2 linked regions of the Canis lupus familiaris genome follow. The protein of the gene in region 2 interacts with the protein of the main gene of each other region in a pairwise test. Links are inferred from orthologs where the notes say so. Each region holds a gene or a part of one and is shown on either strand. Other genes may lie near its edges.

Region 1 (5,912 bases), on a different chromosome or scaffold from region 2:
AGCTTCGGGCTGTTGTGAATGACTCTGCTGTAAACCCGGGTGTGTGGATACCCCGTCAGGGCCCCGCTTGCACTTCGTCTGCGTGTTCTCCAGGGCGTGGAATTGCTGGAGCCTATGGTACATGCAGTTTTAATTTCCCGGGCGGCTACCACCCAGCTGCACCATCAGACTTCCCCACCGACTGCGCACAGGCTTCCAGTGGCTTCACATCCTTTCCAACGTGTGCTGTTTTCTGCTTTTTTTAAAGAAAATATTTTATTTCTTTATTATATACAGAGAGAGGACAAGCAGGGTAAGCAGCAGAGGGAGTGGGAGAGGCAGGCTCCCTGTGGGGAGCCCGATGTGGGACTCATCCCAAGAACCCGGGGTCATGCCCTGAGCTGAAGGCAGACGCTTCACCGCTGAGCCCCACCCCCACCCCCGGGCCCCTGTTTCTGCTCTTTTGATTATAAGCCATGCTGACAGATGTAAGGTGGCATCTACACTGAGAGGTTAAGGCATATTGGCCACCACGATTTTGTTGGATGGAAGCTCGTGGGTGCCGAAGCCTGGGAGGTGCAGGCTCGGGGAGGTTGGGGGCGGCGGGCCTGCGGGCAGCTCTGGGCTTAGGGGACTTCCCGCCGACCCCCGTGTGCCCCAGGGCTCGAGTGCTTCACGTGGGTGCCTGCCTCCTCCCTCGAGGGTGCTGTGGGCTTGGTCACTCCTGAATCCGTTTCAGGAAAAAGACGTTCCAACCTCAGGCAAATCTTGTGTGAGAGGTAGAGACGGCGCAGTCGGTCAGTACATTGGTCATGCCACAGGGGTGGGTTTCAGACTTTCTCTTTGAAGCAGCAAAACCTTTTACCTAAAAAAGAAAAGTCATCTTACACATTATCCCAACACTCGAAACCAATAGAAGAGGCGTGGTTTTGTTTGGGGCGATCGGGGGCATCTGGAGCCTGCTGACCTGGCCCCCCCATAAATACACAGGGTGGAGTCCCCATTGCAGGATCATGGGCAGCGTGAGACCCATGTTTGTTCCCAGACCTGGATTCTGGAACGATCATGGGTATTTATGTATCAACTTCTTGCTCCCCGCAGGATTCTCACCGTTACCATTCTGGCTGTCTGTCTTCTGAGCCCTGGGAAGGCACAGGTATGATTTTGACTTTGTTTATTATCTAGAAGCATGTTAAATATCGGAATGAGGGTGTCCAGCCCTGCGTTTTGGAATCCCAGGGTGGGGGGGGGGCAGAGGGGGCGCCACAGCTCACCTGAGCTGAGCTCCACCCCTGCATGCAGGGGGCAGCCAGGCTCTGAGAGGCGGTTGCCTGCCCCTGGTGACAACGTCGTCGTCTTTAAGTGGCAGGGCTGTGACTTGAGGCCTCTGATCCCTAATCTGAGACTGGGAATGGGATCCGCTGCCTCCGTGATGTCTTTCAGGTCTTGATTCACAGTCAGTGTTGAGAAGTCAGAGGTGCTGTGGTGCTTGGGGGCGGCGGTGCCCTTCGTGCACGTGGCCCATGTGGGACTGTGTCTCCATAGACGCGCATCCCCAGCGGGATGGGGGTCCTGCGTCTGGGCCAAGCCCCTGGCAGGAGTGTGGAGGGCTGGTGGGGGGGAGGCTCAGGTGGGGGCCCGGACTTTACGAAGCCATGTCTATGTTAGCCTTGGGGGCTGTGGGTACATCCCTCCTGAAAACTCAGAGCGGCCTCTAACTCTAGCTCAGAAATGAGTGAGGCCTCACCACGGAGCAGGGCTAAGGGTGGGGGAGTATATTTTTTTCACTTCAAATTACGAATTTCAAAATAGATTCAGGCTATTAGGGATAGACAGGGTCTTGGAGGGGCCTTGGAGTTTGGTGGTCCAGCCTCACGGTGACAGACGGTGACATCCAGGCCCAGGGAGGACAGGGTCCTGGGCTGCACGGTGCATGTTAGGCCCTTTGCAAACATTGACACTTGGAACCGCCTGGAAGGAGGCACTGTCACCCCCATTCACGGGTGAGGAGATAAAGGCAGAGGAAGTTGTAGGTGAGAGGCTGATGCCGGGCAGGCTGGTGGCTTTGAGCCCTCACTGGCGCTTAGTGGGTAAGCCAGTCCCGGACATCCGTCTCGCGGTTTCCCGAGCTTTATGGCACAGCCTCCTGGCTCATAGCTCCCTTTCTTTTGCCCTGAGGCCCTGAGGCCCTGAGCCTCCAGAGCCCTCCCATGAATACAGGCTGACTCCATCATCTCCAAGCACCAGCCCATGGCCCTGGGAAGCCAAGCCCTGGGAGCTGCAGGGAGGGCCAGGGAGGGGATCCCCATGGTCAGAAGCATTCCTTCTCCACCTCGCCTCCGAGATCTGTCGGCCCCATGACATTTTTCTGAGGCCGTAAAGCTGTGCCTTGAGGTGCACGTGAAGACCACGACCCTTGGGGACTGTTGAGGCCTATTTCTGGAAGCATCTTTGTGTGGTTGTTGTGCCGAGATGCAAGTAGAGGGGTTTCCCCAAGTCGGCTTTTCTTACCAAACCCACCACTTTGCTGTGTGTACAGCTTTCAGGGTGGAGGGTGCAGGGAGGGGATGTCACAGCAGGCAGGGTGCTCACCACAGTCCCTGACAAGGGGTCACATAGCACCTGGGGTAAGAGTGATCGCCCTTAACCGCAGTTGTAGCCATTCTTGGAAAGAGATGAATACAGATGTGCCTCATCACCATGCAGACCAAGTGTGGTTACTGCCCTTCATAGCTACAGTGGGAGATAGCCCCCAAATCTGCTACAATTGGGGGTTTTGAAGCAATGACGTGGGGGGCGGGGGTTAAAGAGTGATGCTCAGTGTACAATGATGATAAAAAATACTAAGAAGAATGGGGGTAAATAGGCCTTATAATAGGTGTTGGTGTTACAGATGCTTTTTTTTTTTTTCCTTTACTTCATTTCTGGAACTTTCTGTGATATCCTTGTAATACTTTTATATTAAAAAAACAAAAACAAAAACAAAAAACAAACAAAAAAAAAACGAAGGACTACAAGCTCACCTCTGTCTCCTTTCTCCTTGCCTGCAGCAACAATGCACTAATGGCTTCGATCTGGACCGCTCGTCAGGACAGTGTTTAGGTACGGGGCCTCCGAGGATCCTGCGCTGGGGTGGGGGATGTTTGGTGATAGACCCGATGACAGGGCCATGTCTGTCTCGGCCGTTGCTCGACATAATGAAATCTGTGTTGGCCTGGATCGTGGAAGAAAACAGGGCCACAGAAGGTGTCAAGAATGGCCTTTGGTCAATCACCTCCTTTGTGGGCAGTCCTGCGAGGGGGCAGGAAGGGCCACACGGATCCGTGTCCCCGGGGCTCTCCGCATTCGCTTCCTATCTGCTGTAACCAATGGCCACAGATGTAGTGGTTTAAACAACAAAAATGTATCTCCCAGCTCAGTGATCTATGGATCATTATCTATGTTATTGGTAGGTCGGAGGTTGTATGGGGGTCTCCCAGGCAAACATGGAGGTCCAGCAAGGCTTTGCTCCTTTCGAGGAGCTCTCGGGGAGACTCCTTGTCCCTGCTCACTGGTGGTGTTGGTAGAATCCACTTCCTTTTTTTGGAAACATTGAGATACAATGGACACACCACGTTGTGTGAGCTCAAGGTGTAGGTAGGACTCATTGGTGTGACACGCGTACGTATCACGGTGATCGCTGCCGCAGCCCCTGCTGCAGCTCCGTCACACCACATAGTCACCTTTCTTTTCTTATGGTGAGAACATGTGAGATCTGCTCTCTTAGCAGTTTCCAAGTGTGTCAGCGACCCTCACGGTGCTGTACCAGCACGCACGCAACTTATAACCGAGACTTTGTTCCCCTCACCAGCCTCTCCCAGACCCCAGCCCTTGTCAGCCACCCTTTTACTCACGATTGTTATGAGTTTGGCTTTTTTGATTCCACATATAAGGGAGGTCGTACAGGATTTGTTTTCCTGCGCCTGGCTTATCTCATTTAGCGTAACACCCTCGAGGTCCATCCATGGTGTTGGAAATGGCAGGACTTCCTTCTCTCTCTCTCATGGCTGAAAATGCCCACTGAGTGTGCATGTGTATGAATATGTGTGTGTGCGTGTGTACCTTGATATAAACACATCTTCACCCACCTTATCCATTCCTCTGCTGATGTACACGTTGGTGGCTTCCACGTCTTGGCTCTTGTGAACTGCCCTGCAGGGAGCATGGGAGTGCAGGTGTCTCTTTGAGGTTCTGCTCTCATTTCCTTCAGATAAGTACCCAAAATTGGGATTGCTGGACCATATGGTGGTCCTATTTTTAACTTTTTGAGAAACCTCCAGATCCCTCTCTGTAGTGGCTGCACCAGTTTGCATTCCCGTGGCATTTCCCACAGTTGCAGGACTGGAGCCCCCAGGTCCTTGCTGGCTGTCAGTAGAGGTCTTTCCCTCCTCATCCCCTGCCTCGTGGTCCCCTCCTCCATCTTCAGAGCCACCACTGTGGGTTAAGTCCCTCACAGGCTCTGGATCTCTTCTTTTCCCGTTGTCACATCTCTCTGACTGACCCTTCTTGCCTCTTCTTCTGCTTTTAAGGACTTCTGTGATGACACTGGGCCCACTCATGTAATCCCCCCACATCTCAAGGTCAGCCGGGTAGCAGCTTAAATTCCACCTGCTACCTCATTTTCCTTTACTGAGTAGCCTGATGCTGCCACCAGTTCCGAGGATGAGGACTGACATTTGGGGGCTATTCTCCTAGTACGTCATCTGGTGGAAAAGGTAGACCTGGACAGAGAGAACACCGTATGTGCTGGAATAACAATCATTGCCAAGTTAAGGCCAGAGCCATGGGCCCTACAGAAGTAGGGGAGGCAGTGATGTCTTATGTCAGGGGTCAATAAAAAAAGCCTTCATGGAGGCCACATTTGAATCTAGTATTTTTTTTAATGTTTTATTTATCAGATGAGAAACATAGGCAGAGACATAGGCAGAGGGAGGTCCTGGATCCCCGGACCCCGGAGTCATGTCCTGAGCCACTCAGGTGCCCCTGAATTGAGAACTGAGGGATGAGTAGGATCCTGAGAAATGGCATCCCAAGTGGAAGAAACAGCAGAAGTGAAGACCGGGGTGGAAAGGACACTGCGAGTACAGAATAGTTTGCTGTGGCTGGAGCATAGCTCCTCTACCAGGACAATAAGGCAGCCCCACTTGCTCCCACCTGGGGGGTGTATTTAGCTTTTTGATTATATTTGATGGAAGCCAGGGGCTGTGTCTTCCTGGAGCTCACGTCAGCTAAGACCCAGAGGAGAGACACATGGTTCCCAAAAGTGATGAGTGGTGAGGAACAACACAACCCTGCTGTGGAAAACCTGGGTGTGCACTTTGATTAGAGGCACTGGGAGACGGGGGTGCGCCAGGGGCAGAGAGGGGGGCAGCGGGCCATTGTTTTCTGTCCCACCGGCCTTCTGGAGGGCCTCAGGCTTACGGCTGCAGATGGGGCACCTGAGCCTCAGCATTTCCCTTTCCTGGTGGGCCTTCGTGTGCATTTCTTTGGAGGGGCTGCTTGGGGTGAGCCATCGGGCTTCCGACATGTGTCCCCCAGGCGCTGGCCCCTGTGGAGTGACCCCAAGGCTGCGACAGGGCCCAGCGGGTAGGCTCAGATAGTAGGCTGCTATGCTGGAGCCAGAGCCCAGGGGTCCCCTGCCCCATCCTTGCAGGGCCGATTTTCTCAGGAACCTGCCTCCTGCTCCTGGCATGATGAGCAGAACATTAGCCTGTCTGGAAATGGGCCTGTTGTGGGCTCAGTGTGAGCTGACCTGCAAGGAAGCCTCCACTTTGCTAATAGGTGGCTAGCTCTCAGCCAGGCCGGACGTCTTCCTGCGTGCAAGCGGCTGTCTCCCGTGCCCAGCTGTTATTTGGAGTAGAGGTGGGAGTAATGATTAGGTCTGTCCCCATGTT
Region 2 (5,912 bases):
TAATATGCTCATAGCATAGTCTCTTTGAATGTTAGGTATTACTGTAATTTATATATTGTAAAAAAACCTTTTTTTCCCCCCTCTCTCTAGGCTATGGTGAATTGAATGGTAATCCTGGAGAAAGAGAAATATCTTTAAAGAGCCTGGGTTCTGATGAAGCTACCAACCCTATTTCCAGGGTGCTCAATGGCAACCAACAAATTGTAGACACTAATTTGAAGCAGACTGTAAAGGCCAGCACCTTTGGGAAAGCAGGAATTAAAACCAGGAATTTCATTCAGAAAAACAGTATGGACAAAAAGAATGGGAAGTCTTATGAAAATAAATCTGGAGAGAACCAGTCTGTAGACAAGACCGATACTGTAGCAATTCCAAATGGTGTTGTAACAAATAATTCTGGCTATATTACTAATGGTTATATGGGCAAAGGAGCAGATAATGATGGTAGTGGATCTGAGAGCGGATATACCACTCCTAAAAAAAGGAAAGCTAGGCGCAATAGTGCCAAGGGTTGTGAAAACCTTAATTTAGTGCAGGACAAAATAATGCAACAAGAGACCAGTGTCCCAAACTTAAAACAGGGACTTGAAAATTTCAAGCCTGACTACAGTGAACAAAAGGGAAATCGAGTAGATGGTTCAAAGCCCATTTGGAAGTATGAAACTGGGCCTGGAGGAACAAATCGAGGAAAACCTGCTGTGGGGGATATGCTACGGAAAAGCTCTGATATTAAACCTGGTGTGAGCAGCAAAAAGTTTGATGATCGGCCCAAAGGAAAGCATGCTTCCGCTGTTACCTCCAAAGAGGACTCGTGGACCCTATTTAAACCACCTCCAGTTTTTCCAGTGGACAATAGCAGTGCTAAAATAGTTCCTAAAATAAGTTATGCAAGCAAAGTTAAGGAAAACCTCAACAAAACTGTACAGAATTCCTCTGTGTCACCATCTTCATCTTCATCTTCTTCGTCTACTGGGGAAACCCAGACCCAATCTTCAAGTCGGTTATCCCAGGTCCCTATGTCAGCGCTGAAATCTGTTACTTCGGCCAACTTTTCTAATGGGCCTGTTTTAGCAGGGACTGATGCAAGTGTATATTCTCCAGGGGGTCAGCCACTGCTAACTACTGCTGCTAATACTCTAACACCCGTCTCTTCTGGGACTGATTCAGTTCTCCAGGACATGAGTCTGACTTCAGCAGCTGTTGAACAAATTAAATCTAGCCTTTTTGTCTATCCTTCAAATATGCAAACTGTGCTATTGAGCACAGCACAAGTGGATCTACCCTCTCAGACAGATCAGCAAAATCTGGGGGATATCTTCCAGAATCAGTGGGGTTTATCATTTATAAATGAGCCCAGTGCTGGCCCTGAGACTGTTCTTGGGAAGTCATCAGATCATAAAGTGATGGAGGTGACATTTCAAGGGGAATATCCTGCCACTTTGGTTTCACAGGGTGCTGAAATAATCCCCTCAGGAACTGAGCATCCTGTGTTTCCCAAGGCTTATGAGCTGGAAAAACGGACTAGTCCTCAAGTTCTGAGTAGCATTCTAAAATCTGGGACTACTAGTGAGAGTGGAGCCTTATCCTTGGAACCCAGTCATATAGGTGACCTGCAAAAAGCAGACACCAGTAGTCAAGGTGCTTTAGTGTTTCTCTCAAAGGACTATGAGATAGAAAATCAAAATCCTCTGGTGTCTCCTACGAACACTTTGTTAGGCTCCGCCAAAGAACAGAGATACCAGAGAGGCCTAGAAAGAAATGATAGCTGGGGTTCTTTTGACCTGAGGGCTGCTATTGTATATCACACTAAAGGTAATTCATTTGTTTTTATATAAAGATTCTTACATAAATTTAATAAGCATTTATTAACTGGTGTATTAAGGGTAAATTTTGGAAGTTTTTATGAGATTTTTTAAGAATTTGGGAACTAAGTTGAGAACAGTGGATAAGCAGTAGATAAATTAATTCAGGGTCTTTGGAAATAGTACTATTTAGAAGGAATGTTCACTTTCAACTTCAAAATGTTTATATATTCACACAAACACAAAAGTACTTGACTTCCTATACCTGCTTCAAAGAATGAAGAGGGATGGGTTGGTGCCCAGAGGGATGACATATTTTCTCATGAGTTCTTTTTAAAAATTTTCTTTGAACAGATGTTTCCTCTCCTTTGCTTTTTATATCATGTACTTCTTTATTAGTGAGCTCACTTGATAGTTCTAATTTGTATAAAATGAGTAGGAGCAGTGTTTTTGAGGAGGAGTCCAGAAAGATGGAGTGTCAAACTATTTCTTCTCTTCCAAGAAGGAATAATGCGTGCTAAGTGGTAACTGGAAAATAATTTTGACAATTGCAATGGCAGGCTCAATTAGCAATGTAGGAACCAGGCTCTTGGGGTCTGTACTTTTCATAGCCCCAAAGCCTCTGTTAAAAAAGGAATCATATCTTTCAAGTTCCATGCTCATAACTTTAGAATATGGTTTATTTGTGTCTTTTTTTTTTTTTTTTTTTAATTAAAGTTTATTTCAGAGAGAGTGAGTATGGAGAGGGGCAGAGGGAGAGGGACACGGTCAGACTCCCTGCTGAGCCGGGAATCTGACATGGGGCTCAGTCCCAGGACCCTGAGATTAACCCACTGAGCCATCCAGGCAGCCCTTTGTGTCTTAAAGAAAAATTTACTGTATGGTATAAACTTATTTAAATCCCTACAGCAAATAATGAGTCTTAGTGAATGATGTTTATAACCTTGGTACTTTTGAGAATGGTGGTTTTTTCAGTCTTCCACTTCGGTCTTCCCCTAGTCCCCTAACAGAAATTTATACCCCATGCATGCATATGCACACCTCAGATATGCTGCACATTCCCATTTTTAACTGGCTCATTTAGGCAGAGACTTGGAGCTGCTGGGAAGGGGCAGCATATCAGATAGTGGGGATGAGGTAATTCCCATATTCTCCCTGGAAGGATCACTGCCTCAGAGATGAATAACAAAGCTATTTATGTGACTTTTAAGCAGATTGCCTCCTCTGCATACCTTTCCTTATCTGCAAACTGGAAGACATTAGTAAAATGAACAGATGTCCTTTTCTATTTTTCTTCCTTTAGAAAATGGGAGTAAGTAGTAGTATTACCTTATGGGAGTTTAGGAGTAGAAATCCTGGCAGATAAAATTACCTGTCTGTACTTTTTTTCTCCAGCACTGCTGTTGGGAAGTAAATAAATTAATTAGGAAGTGGATGTTTTTAGGAAAGTTAGGACAAAAAAAATTACTTATTTTCTTAAGACTTGTAGTTAATTATAAGTTGGTTCTGCTGGGGGAGTTGGTGTTTTTGGTGATATTTTCTGTGCTATCTGCCCACCAGAGACCACTACTGGGAAAATCTTTACCTGAATATTTTGTATGGGTAATTAGGAACCTGAAGGAATATCTGGTTACGTTCTTCCACAACCTGCAAAAAAGTTTGGGACAAGATGTTCCATGAAGTGGTTGTTGGCTGGTGTTTTTATATGTTTTTATTACGGAGAATTGTAAGCCTTTTTAAATGGGAGTAATAACTCCTATTTATTTATAGGTATTCTGTATGCATTTTTCCTATAGTGACACTAATTAGATCTGAAATTAGTGGTATTTAAATAAGCTAAATGCCCCTACCTGGATGCAGTTATATTTAGTTTTGCTGATATTACTGAAAGATTTGCTTTAGTAAAGTGCATCAATTTGAGTTTCGTAGTTGGGTATTATTGAGATTTAATTGGTATTGATTGTTTTTTCCCCCCCTAACAATGGTTAATGTTCAGTTCAGTTAGTTCCCAAAGTGGCAAGTTCTTTGAATTCCTGCCAAATGTGGATTGGTTCATTAGGTCACTAATTTCTCTTTTCTGTGAGTTTGTTTTGAACCACAACCTTTTCAAGATCTGAAGAACTTTCTCATAAGTGAAGGCTGGCCTTTTTTTTTTTTTTTTTTTTTTTTTGAGTTGTTTTAAACTCTAAAGGAGGTAATAATCAGTTGGGCTTATTAGACTATCCTTTAAAAGAGCACTTGTATTTTCTTGGTCCTTTAGTGAAGTCTTCTCTTTAAATGTTCAAAAGCAGTCACTTAGTGAGTTAAAGTTAGGCTCAGAAATAGAGGTTTTTATGCATACCTCCTTACTTTAAAAGTAAGCTCCTCAACAACTTTATTTGGAAATAGTAGATAAGAGAGTGCTTAGTGTCAGTTGAGCAGGAATGGTGCATTTTTTAGATTAAACATTAATTACTTGCAGCCTTAGAAATACTGCAGATCCTTTGAAAATCTGAATATTCAGTACATTTGACGATAGGAAATAAAGATACTATGAGGCATAAAAAAGGGATTGGTGGGAAATCTAGTTCTTGGGATTTTTCTTTCAGCTTTTGATATATATTATGCTATTAATTTTTCTTAAGAAATGGGAGGGTTAATCTTTTTATTATCTAGGGGAATATTGTACCATTACATAGCAGTATTAATATTTATGGTGAGATGTAAGTCCTATTTTCTATTTCTCTCAAATGGCACTTAAGGGGCATTTATTACCTTAAAGTAATAGCTTTTTAAATTAACTATGAAAAAATTGATACTCAAAAGTGGAACCTATAATGAACCTCAATGTACCCATTGTCCAGCCAGAACATTTAGAAAGTATTCATTCTTGTTTAACCTATCTACCTTCGCACTTTATTTGGTAGGAATTTCAAAAGCAAATTCCAGGTATCCTAACATTTTGCTAGTTGATACTTTGGTTATGTTTGAGTGATAGCTTTTAATGCACCTACCCAGGACATAGAACTGTTACCTCCTTTAAAGCATTTACTTTTCAAAGGCTTGTAACACTAGACTCAACTTTTTGAGGTGAATCTTTGGTTTTGAAATGGTCATTTGAAGTCATTTGATTCAAAAAGTCCTTTGAAGACAAATCTGTTGAAATAAGGTAGGTTGATGTGAGTCGTGTGTTTGGTCAGTGTTCATTTAAACCAGGTTGATTTATCTTGCCTAACTAATACTGCACGGAACTTCATCAAGTATTCAGTGCTGATATTTTGGAGTATTTATTAAAAAATAATTTAATATGGTAAATTTTACCCAGTATGTAGAGATGCAAGGGAGGATGAATAAAATAAGAGAGAGGGCAGCCTGGGTGGCTCAGAGGTTTGGCGCCGTCTTCGGCCCAGGGCATGATCCTGGAGACCGGGATCGAGTCCCATATCGGGCTCCCTACATGGAGCCTGCTTCTCCCTCTGCTTGTGTCTCTGTCTCTCTCTCTCTCTCACATAAATAAATAAAATCTTTAAAAAAAATAAAATAAGATAGAATTCTTGATGGTTGACGTGGATCAACATGACAGTTACCTAGTAAAAAATATCCTTGAGGGAACACTAGGCTTTAGTATGAAACTTTAAGAACTTGTTTCTGTGTTACTTCTATAGGTTATTAGCATAAATGACTTGAGGCACTAGATGTGGGCTATACTCCGGATAAAAATGTAGTGGTTCTCATTGCCAGCTAGGATTGGGAACTCTTGAGTCTTAGAGAGCTTTCCTCAGTTTAATCCTACTTTTCTGTTTTCTGCCAGAGTTGTGCAGTAATATACGTGTGTGTGTAGTGTATGTTTTCCTTTCCCTTATAATATAGGCAAAGTACTTTGCTTAGTTATATAAGACTTTGGCAGGGTGTGTCTTTTTCTTTGAAGAACTTAATTAAGTAGAGGAGAAAACAATACACAAGTTTATAAGGATTTTTTAAAGGTCATATGGATCAAAATAGGGGATTTTAGTGGAAGAAATTTTTTTTTAATTTTTTAAAAAAATTTTTATTTGTTTATGATAGTCACACAGAGAGAGAGAGAGAGAGGCAGAGACACAGGCAGAGGGAGAAGCAGGCTCCATGCACCGG

What was found.
Region 1: the proteins of NUFIP2 (region 2) and FBLN5 interact in binary tests that used the Homo sapiens proteins (3 or more experiments, as listed by UniProt). The link is inferred for Canis lupus familiaris from reciprocal best matches to the Homo sapiens genes NUFIP2 and FBLN5.

Annotation. Positions count from the first base shown.
Region 1 is NC_049229.1:1,288,095-1,294,006, reverse strand, and holds part of FBLN5 (fibulin-5), read left to right. Parts: intron 1-1,080; coding exon 1,081-1,135; intron 1,136-3,029; coding exon 3,030-3,081; intron 3,082-5,912. UniProt on the Homo sapiens protein: Essential for elastic fiber formation, is involved in the assembly of continuous elastin (ELN) polymer and promotes the interaction of microfibrils and ELN. Stabilizes and organizes elastic fibers in the skin, lung and vasculature.
Region 2 is NC_049230.1:43,371,716-43,377,627, reverse strand, and holds part of NUFIP2 (nuclear fragile X mental retardation-interacting protein 2), read left to right. Parts: intron 1-90; coding exon 91-1,812; intron 1,813-5,912. UniProt on the Homo sapiens protein: Binds RNA.